Arabidopsis thaliana: one gene and its partner. The protein of the gene in region 2 interacts with the protein of the main gene of each other region in a pairwise test. Each region holds a gene or a part of one and is shown on either strand. Other genes may lie near its edges.

The links. Proteins that work in one complex are often made in the same cells at the same time.
Region 1: the proteins of CHX27 (region 2) and AT3G02290 interact in a protein complementation assay, tested with the Arabidopsis thaliana proteins (one large-scale study listed by BioGRID).

What each region holds. Positions count from the first base shown.
Region 1 is NC_003074.8:456,989-461,548, forward strand, and holds AT3G02290 (RING/U-box superfamily protein), read left to right. Parts: upstream 1-1,752; 5' UTR 1,753-2,396; coding exon 2,397-2,516; intron 2,517-2,673; coding exon 2,674-3,112; intron 3,113-3,182; coding exon 3,183-3,337; 3' UTR 3,338-3,553; intron 3,554-3,673; coding exon of another isoform or gene 3,674-3,700; 3' UTR 3,701-4,008; downstream 4,009-4,560. Other genes in the region: AT3G02280 (Flavodoxin family protein), read left to right, coding at 1-50, 139-671; AT3G02300 (Regulator of chromosome condensation (RCC1) family protein), read left to right, coding at 4,530-4,560. UniProt on the Arabidopsis thaliana protein: Mediates E2-dependent protein ubiquitination.
Region 2 is NC_003076.8:255,503-260,998, reverse strand, and holds CHX27 (cation/H+ exchanger 27), read right to left. Parts: upstream 3,694-5,496; 5' UTR 3,590-3,693; coding exon 3,371-3,589; intron 3,231-3,370; coding exon 2,718-3,230; intron 2,484-2,717; coding exon 1,986-2,483; intron 1,904-1,985; coding exon 1,046-1,903; intron 870-1,045; coding exon 654-869; 3' UTR 509-653; downstream 1-508. Other genes in the region: AT5G01700 (Protein phosphatase 2C family protein), read left to right, coding at 1-151; CHX26 (cation/H+ exchanger 26), read left to right, coding at 4,359-4,571, 4,702-5,496. UniProt on the Arabidopsis thaliana protein: May operate as a cation/H(+) antiporter.

The sequences.
Region 1 (4,560 bases), on a different chromosome or scaffold from region 2:
TCGGAAAGGTCTGTGCTCCTCTTGGCTTGCAAGCCTCGCACCTGAACAAGGTTAGAAGTTTGTTTCTTCTTTACCATAACTGTGAATGGCTCAGTTCTCTATTTCTGATATGTTTTCTTTGTCTTCGGTTGTGGTTAGAGGTAAACATACCGGTTTGGTTTCACAAAGGCTCCCTTCCTGCTCCATCTCAGTCGCTTCCGCTCATCTTAGTGGGACCCGGAACCGGATGTGCGCCATTCCGTGGATTCATAGCTGAGAGAGCCGTACAAGCTCAGTCTAGCCCGGTTGCCCCCGTCATGTTCTTCTTTGGTTGCAGAAACAAAGACACAGACTTTCTATACCGCGATTTCTGGGAGTCTCACGCAAGAGAAGGAGGCATGCTCTCTGAAGGAAAAGGCGGTGGCTTTTACACAGCGTTCTCTAGAGACCAACCAAAGAAGGTTTACGTGCAACATAAGATCCGCGAAATGAGCAAGAGAGTTTGGGATTTACTCTGTGATGGAGCCGCTGTTTACGTGGCGGGCTCGTCGACGAAAATGCCTTGTGATGTGATGTCGGCTTTCGAAGATATTGTGTCGGAGGAGACAGGAGGAGGATCAAAGGAGGTAGCTTCACGGTGGCTTAAGGCTTTGGAGAAGACAGGGAGGTACAATGTTGAAGCTTGGTCTTAACTCTCTAACTTCCTTCATATGTAATCTTATTACATATATGTTCTCTGATTATTTTATTGCTGGCACATTAATTTTTATTTTTATTTTGATAATTCATACAAATTAATTAAAAGTGAAGATGATGTGTCGAAGGTTAAGGTTGATATAGATTTAGTTTTGAAATACATATTTTTTTGTTGGTTTGTTTGTTTTTCAAAATCGTTAATTGGATAACACTAGATATTAATTTCTGTTTAAATTTAAATATCACCAATTAAGTAACATGTGTCATGTGATTCTAATTAAAGAGTAAAACTGTTCATTTAGGATTTTTTTAAAATCAGATTTTATAATCAATGCAAAACCTCAACTAGTCTAAATTTCTGAAGAAAGTAGTTTGCTTTTACTTTTTGTATGGAAAGTAGATGACACTGACACGAAAAAAAAAGAGATTAATTTCAGTATTAAACGAAAAAATAATTGCAGAAGCACAGAATAATCGGGCATGCGTGAGTAACAAAATAATTATTCGTCCTCCATTAACCCCATAAAAGCAGTGAGATTTCGATAAAAAAAAATGTGATTTGGAAACAGAAAAAGGAGTTTTCAAACTTACAGAAAAACATTTCTTATACGTCTAAAATTCAAAAAGTTCAAAATACAAAGTCATCTATATAATAATCTAAGCGTAATTATATTATGTTCTTTGATTATCATTATTATATAGAATTTTGTTATTTTTAAAGGTCAACTTATTTTCTGTTTGAAGCTCCATTGGCATCCACAACGAAGCTCTCCTCTGTCTCTCTCACCCACTTTCATAACAACAACAATCATCATTCATCTTCATCTTCTTCAGTGTTCCTCACTTTTTCCGCAATCTTTCTTTTTATCACCGACGAGAAAACAAATAGTAATCCTTTTGAAGTTTTTCACTTTCCTGGGAAATTGCACAATTAATGAGTTTCTATATTTATATTAAAAGTTGAAAATTTAAAGCCTTGTCTCTCTTTCGTCGGTTAATTTGTTTCATCTGATCGAAAAGGAATCAGTTTAGGTCTTTGCCTCCTCTCTCCGGCCAGCTCAATTCTCGATCAAAGGTTTACTCTTTCTTTTTAATTTTTCGATTATTTGAAAAATTACTAGAAATATGTTTTCATCAATAACGATCCTGATCGTTATTTGATCTCACAAGTTTGTTTTCTGATCAAATTTTACTGTTTTTTTGTTTGTCGGTTGATACACTCTGTTTTTCTCAGTTCTTTGGATTAATGCAAATGGGGTTTTTCACTTTTCGGTGTCTCTTATCTCAATTGAGTTTGTCTGTTTCTCTGTTGAAGCAAAGTTTTTATCTTTTTCTTCTTTTTGTGTGGTTATATATGTGGTTGTCGGAAATTTACCTAATTTAGGGTTTTTTCCTGTGTAAGTGCTTGCATTTCACTTTAACAAAACCTCAAGTTAGAGTTGTGAGTGTTCAGAGTTCAGATCGATTGAAACTCTCAGTTGCTACTCAACAGAAATTGGACTTTTGGTTTGTTGAGATGTATTGTTTGAAGTTGCTTTGTTCCACTAGTGTAAAATAACATTCTCTTCTCTGCATCTTTAGACTTATCAAGGAATCAAACCCATTTTATCATTGCAGGTGACGTGGATATATGAAGCAGATGTTTTGGGGAACCAGAGTTCTGTAAATAGAAACCTTCACGCGACGTTGAAAGGTTTTTGAGACGAATATAGGAGGAGAAGATGGGATGTGTTTCTTCTTGCTTCCGGGTCGAGGACATTGATGAGTACATGAATCCAAACAGCTCTGTCTATAGGAACTGTCCCTGCATAAGATGCCTTGCTCATAATTTCCTTAACCTGGTAACTGCTTGCTTCACATTGCTATTTCAGTTTATGCTTCTTATGGTTAGATATCTCGAAAGTTTTCATGTTTCTATAGTTACAATTTCTAGTTCTTGTCACAGTTATTTACTTTGATCTGTAATCTGATTTTTTGAGCCCATATTAATCGTTGCAGTATATTTCGGTCTTCAGAAGAGGGGAAACTCGCTCTCTCCCATCTTCGGTTCAAGCTACTGCATCGATAACTTCCTCTTCTTCACACGATAACTTTTTGTCTGAAGCATTCCGTTCTACTCCAAGACCTCTGCCTTATGATGCTGATCCTAGATACTTCCGCTCACTCGTCTCAAGACGGGAGAAGGGTTCAAGTCATTCTCATGAGGAAGTTGAACCTTTAAGAAGCGATAGCGATGCAGATTCTGAATCTTTCGGGGTAGGAGGGTGCAAATGGGCTAATAATAAGTCCACCCTCTCTGATAAAGATTCCAAAGAAGAGTACTCTAGTAAATCCAGTCTCAGGATTTTGAGATCAAGGTCCAAGTCAATAATGGCCGACTCTGAAAACATGTATATATTGTCTGAAGACGAAGATGTCTGCCCAACTTGTCTTGAAGGTAATAATAATCCCATTCAACAGTCTCCTTTTTGTTCCTTCAGTATTCATATCTTGTTGGTTTTTTGCAGAATATACATCAGAGAACCCAAAGATTGTGACAAAATGTTCACACCATTTCCACCTTAGTTGCATTTATGAGTGGATGGAGAGAAGTGAAAACTGTCCAGTCTGCGGAAAGGTAACCACTTTTTTTTTCTGCATTCTTAGAACGAAGTGCGTATAAAACTCCCGTCAAAGCAAAAGGCCATATGCTTTTCGAAATTGCACGGTCTAGATGATGAAAAGCTCTAATATTTTCCTGGAATTCATAACAATATTGTTGTTCTGATTCATTCTGATTTTTAAAAAGCTCCATTTTCAAATTTCATCATGCTCTTTCCATGGCTTCTTCTGGTTTTATCTGCCTGAGACTCAGATGGTAGAACAAGTGAAAGCATATGTGCGTACAAGTTTCCCGATAAAGAAATAATCTTTTCTTGGAATCCTAACAGTTGTGTTGTTCTGATTCATTCGGATTTTTAAAAAGCTCCCATTTTTGATCCATTGTTCATGTATGCAGGTGATGGAATTCAACGAAACACCGTGATCATCGACCATTGATCCGTGTCCTGTATCTGAACTGAAACCGGGGAAGATGACAAGGCAATGCAAGGAATATAATTTGTAAATTTGGCTTTGTTGGTTTGTGAATATTTTCATTTACAATGGTAAATATATGAAGCAGAAAAGGAGAAACTGTTACTCTGCAACAGTTTAAGTTCCTGAGAAAATTTAACTTCCATGAAACAAGAAGCAATGTTTCTTCTTTAAGTGACTTTTTCTCATGAAATGCCTCTGTTGTTGTATTCTCTAGTCAGTCATCAAAACTCTTACATCATTGTCGTTATATAAATAAATTTTTCTTTTTTTATGTGTTCAATCTAAGGAACTGATGCAGTGATAAAAGTCTTATGAAGTGGGGGAAAAGAGAAAAGAAAACATAATTTAGGGACTGTTTTGTAATATTTTATAAAGTAAAGGTCTTCCGATGTTAATATCAGAAATGTCTCTCCGGAGTCGGTCCCGGAGCTCTCGGAGCAAATGAATGAACGAGACTCATTGCTTCTCTCTTTCCCTCCGTTTCTTACACATTAACTACTCCAAAAACCGAACAAAGACCTTCAGAATTTGCGATTCATCCAATTTCAACATTGATTTGTGAGGTACGGTTTCAGATTCTTTCTCCTTTTTTTTTTGGTTAATTGTGATTCTCGTGCATATGCGTGTGGTGTCATCTTTAGTTATGTAATTCGCGATTAGCTCTAAGATGGGTATTGAAAAACTTGCCTGATTCGTGATCGCTTCTGCTCATTTCTGTAAAAGTCAGAGTTTTGTTCATAAAGTTTGGGTCTTTAAGAAGAATAACAATTTTGTGCATGTTTTCTTCTTTAAAAGGGGAATTTCTAA
Region 2 (5,496 bases):
GGTGCTTTACCTAAACCACCGGCCTTACCCAAGAGAAGGAAACGTGAGCCGAGCAATATCAACTATTTCCTGGAGATCAAATAAGAGCAATAACGAGTGTTATGGAGCCGCACCATTGTCACCATTGGGTCTATCCCAAAGGGTTTCATAGTAGGATAATTGTTACTGTTGTTGTTTCTAACTGTTTAGTAAAATTTGAACCTGTTGAGGTGTCGATATTACTCAACATCAACTTTATTTGTGTGTGAAATAATTTTGTGTTCTGTTTGTTTTTTGAAGCTATTAAAAAGTAAAAAGAGTAGACAAACTAATGGACTTGGTCTTCTTTTCCGCAAATCCAAATTTCAACCTCACAGTTGTTCAAGATTCATAAGTTCTTTTTGTGCAGCAAATGCATTAACCTGAACAGCTACAAAAAAAAAAGTAAAGATGGTAAGTACTTAACTAAACCAAATGATTGAACAATCTGTTAATCTCTGTTGAAATTTCATTGGTGATCACATGCTCTGGAATGATTTGAAAGATATAAGTAAACAAGATATCTTCTTGAATGGTAGAACTTTTTTAGAAAAAAATTTGTATTCAATATTCTACAAAAGGCTGTACAAATCCATAAACTCGGGGAACGAAAACGAGATAAACGGTCACCAATCTCATTGCTGTACGGCGAGAACCGAAACAGAGAGCTCGAGATCTTTGGAGATCAACACATCTCCAACCTCTCCTAACTCCTTCATATCGCTCCATTCTGACAATCCTTCCAACATCAAAAGATTTTCTTCGTGTCTTATCCCGACCATCATCAGATCGAAGTCGTCCCCTTCCTTCCTTAGTAGATCCAGTAGATTCACTGCTTCCTCTATTCTTACCTTTAAGAATGTTAGAAACAGGGGAACACATTATGATAGGTTAGATAAAGAAAAACCTCTGTTTCGTCTACACAAGAAACTTTCTAAACCGAATAGAAACCTCTGTTGCATAGAGAAGGTTTCGTCTAAGGGGAAATAAGATAGCTTCCAAGCCAAGGCAAAATAGTTCTCATTACCTCTCTGAAGATGATGTTTTTCTCGGAATTTTCTTTGCGGAAGACGTTGATGACTCTCATGTCGTGATTCCTCTCGACCATGTCTCTGAGCGGAGAGACGCCGTTCTGGTCCACGAGCCGGAAGACTTGGAGCTCGACGCTTGGATGGCTGGCTAAGCGTGTTGCATACGCAAGCATTTCACGGTCATCTGGTCCTCCTAAGAAGATAGCACCAATATTGATGGTAAGCTTTTTCAGTGGAACGAACCTGAAATCTGGGAGCCTTCCTCTGTCTATGAAAAGCGCAACAGAGCAGGGACAGTTGTGCAGGAGATTACGACACAGGAGCCTCTCCCATAACTCGATCCCGGCATCAAGAGTTAGGATCACAATATCTGTTTCCTGGTCAAAGGCAATCGCACACACGTCCTCGTGCATCGTCTTTCGCGGTGCCACTGCCGTGAAGCACTCTATCAACACGGTCTCCTGATTAGTCTTCTCGAAGTTGTGGAAGGCCTTAACGATCTGGTCCCTTCGGCTAGGCACGAGGAAGGGACTAATCTCTTGCGTGTGATGGATAAGGAGGGGAAGACTATGGTTATTAAGCTCTTCTAGATTCACCGCGAAGACTGAGAGAGGAGACCCGATGGCTGGACGAGAGAGTTCGACGAGGTCAAGCACCGGGCGGACCGCCTCACGGTTCCGGAAACAAGTGAGGATCCTTAGGGGAGCCTCCACTCGGCAGTGTTGCACCGTACGTCTCTTGTAAGGGTTGCGTTTGCTCATGGTTTGGTACAGTTTCTTCACTATCACTATGAAAATTGTCGAGTTTACCGTTGCTGACATCACCATTGCTCCAAAAGATTTGCTTGATATTTTCTGCACCCATTGACCATTATTGATTGTTATTGACCTAAAATTATATATGTTCCAAAGTATATCCTAAATGAATTATTGTTACCGTGTAATTGAAATTCTGTTTGTATATTTGAACGTCGTAAAGTCCTTGTATATTGACGATAAACCCGACAAGAATGGCGTGCCAAAGAGGCACTTTATAGTAAAGGGAAGGCAAGGCAATGGCTATCATTTTGGCAAACCTGACCACCCCAAAAAGTAGCTCAAACCGGATAACATCTCTCCAGGAAAACAGTGAGAGATCGATATTGAGGCCAATCCCAATGACGTAGCAAGGCATCAGGACAGACCAAACAAAACAACCGATTTTGTCTGACAGTCCCGTGCCTAGAGGCGGACGTTTTGGGGTGGCTAGACCTAAGACGACCGCACCAAAGAAGTAAGGTAAACCCACAAATTCTGCCCAGAGGCAGGAGATGAAGAGCAAGACGCATATAACAGAGAGATAGGAGGCCTTGAGAGAGTGTCCTTCTGGTGTTCGATTCTTCATCCACAGCATTAGTGGTCGGAACACATATGCTATCACCAATATCATTATCATCTGCATTCATTTCCGTCTTTATATCATTAATAAAAAAGCGTATATATAGATCAAAGCAAGTTTATACTATACGTAAATATTATTGGATTCATGCATTTTATTAGGATCTTAGTTAGTTTGTCTATTTTTGTAGGAATTTACACAGTCAATTATGTTTTTATAGTAAGAAAATTGGAAGATGTTCCAAAGCAAAATTTGTAGATTAATTAAGAAATTATTTATCAACTTGGGTACCTGTAAGACGGACAAGAAAGCAGCGCGATTTTTATTGGGTAAGTCAACATTAAGTTTAATGGCGATGTTAAGCATGAAAAAACACCAAGAGAGGCAGTCATGCACCATCATGGATGCAAGTGCTAACCTCCCTGGCTCAGTGTTCAACATCTTTAGGCTCGACAAGACTCCGTAAACCACCTGAAAAAACATTGTGGACTGGACGATCGCTACATGGTGGAACTCCACGGGAGGGATCCCCGCAGGCCCGCTTTTGAGCCTCTTGGAGATCAAGATGGCCGCGAATTGGCCCCATACGAAAGGTATGAGGAAAAGTAAGATGCCGTTTATGAATGCTAACTTGCCTACTCTCTTTATCATCCTAGTGTCTACTTGACATGTTGTGATGTAGCAAATGAAGAGAAAACATATGGCCTCGAAGGATTCGATTATGTACACGCTTCTCGCGTAGAAGAATGTAGCCATGTACTGTTTGTTACGTCCTATAACGGACGGTCCTAAGCAGATCCCAGCCTGCAAACAAATTCACTATTAAATATTAAGTCACATTTACACCATTATGGGCATGGCTATACATGTTTTTGAGACGACTAGTCCATATTTTTCCACTAGAAAGCTTCCAATTATAGATGCTTAGATATGGAAACGTATACCAGCATCTGAGTGAGGAATGCAAATTTTCCAAAAGGCCGAAGAAGAAACTGAAAAGATACGGAAAATATGGAAAAGACAGAAATCTGAAGGAGAAGAAGAGGAAGAGCAAACTTGAGCGGATTCTCTCCCCGGCCAATCCCCAAAGAGCCTGCACCTACCCATGGCTCGCAAAGCCAATCAACTCCTCCGTACTGAAAAGTTTTGGTTATATTTTCCATTCCCTCCTGCTAGGTATTTCCCCTAAAGAGTCAAGCCATAGAGGGAAAGAGAGAGATTGTGTTGTGAGTTGAAGAAAAGAAGAAAGTATTAATTATTCTCTTCTTTTTTTTGTTTCTGCTCTCTCTAGCTATATTTAGGGGTTTAATTGTACATGTTGTTTATCCTCTTGTTCTTTATTTCTCTTTAGAGGTCATCCTACTTTTAAGGTTTTCTATATATGTTTTCTGTGTGGTACAAAAATCTTGAGCATGGTCAGATGATCATCATTATAGCCTGAGATTGATTGCACAAACATGTGTGTTTGTAATATATATTTTGCATGTTGATGTTATAATAACCAACCTAGCTACTAAATCCATGAAGTTAGATCCCTAACAAAAAAAGATTAATTAATAATCAACCTAGTAATACTCCTTATAAGTATTAATTTAAAAAAGATCAGGATCAACAAAAAAATAAAACTATAATAAAAAAAAAATGTGTAAAATACCAAAAAATACATCTGCCAAAGTGAGATATGACATATATAATTTCCTATTTTTCTCTGACGGTTATAATAAAGTCAACACAAAATCCTTGAAAAAACAACAAAAACTGTTTAATATCTTAAAAAAGATACATGTATCTTCTTCCCCAGCTCAACAAGCTTGATCTGTTTGCTCAATTAGTTAGCGTTATGCTGAATTCAAAAACACAAACAAAAATGGTTATAAAGAAGAACGTGAATACTAGTTTTAAGAAGAAAAAATATTCCCAAAGAGAAACAAGATGAACAATAGTGTTACAAGTAATGGCACACATGAATTTGTATGCGAGGCATGGTTGGGATCAAGCTCTGGCGGATTACTTAGAGGAGATGATCCATTGAAATATTCAACTCCTCTTCTTCTTCTTCTCATTTCTCTCGTCTCTTCTCTCTCTTCCGTCTTCCAAGCTCTTCTCCGCCCTCTCGCAAATGTCGACTTCGTCACTCAAATTCTGGTATGTAATCACTTTATCATACCATTTTCTACGTTTTTTTTAATAAATTTTGGATCTCTCTATATTTCCCGCAAAGAAAAAAAGGTTTAAACTATAGAAGTGTGATATTTTGTTGGTATATATGAAACAGGCTGGGATATTCTTAGGACCCTCGGCTTTGGGACAAAACATTGATTTAGTAAAAAAATTATTCAACACAAGAAGCTATTTCATAATAGAATCATTTGAGGCAATATCCTTCATGTTCATCTCATACATAAGCACGGCTCAAGTGGACATGGGAGTTATAAAGCGAGGAGGCAAGCTAGCAATCATCAATGGATTATCTCTTTTTCTGTTTCCTTACGTGGTGGGCGCCATAGCATGTACAGTAATCACGAGCAACATCCGTGGAACCGTGGCGAAAAATAATCCCGAGCAGCTCCACAATTTACTAACAAACCAATCCGTAGTGTATTTTCAAGTGGCGTATTCGGTTTTGTCGAATCTCAAGATGCTGAACTCGGAGCCCGGAAGGTTAGCCCTCTCCTCCATAATGGTGGCTAACTGCTTCGGCTGGGGTTTTTTCCTCCTTTTGATTACCTTTGACAGTTTCTTGCATCAAAATTACTCCAAGACCACTTATCTGCCTACCTTCACAAAGGTACTACTGCTGGTTGGTATAGTAGTTGTGTGCCGACCAATATTCAACTGGATAGTGAAGAGAACCCCTGAAGGAAAGAAACTCAAGGCTTCCCATCTATGCACCATTTGCGTCATGTTGTGCACCGCCACTTTCCTGTCTGAAACTGTAGGGTTTCCTTACGTAGTCGGATCCGTGGCTCTCGGTCTTGTCACTCCTAAGACGCCTCCTTTCGGTACTGGTCTCACTGACAAGATCGGTAGCTTCTGTTATGCGGTTCTTATGCCGTGTTACGTCATCGGG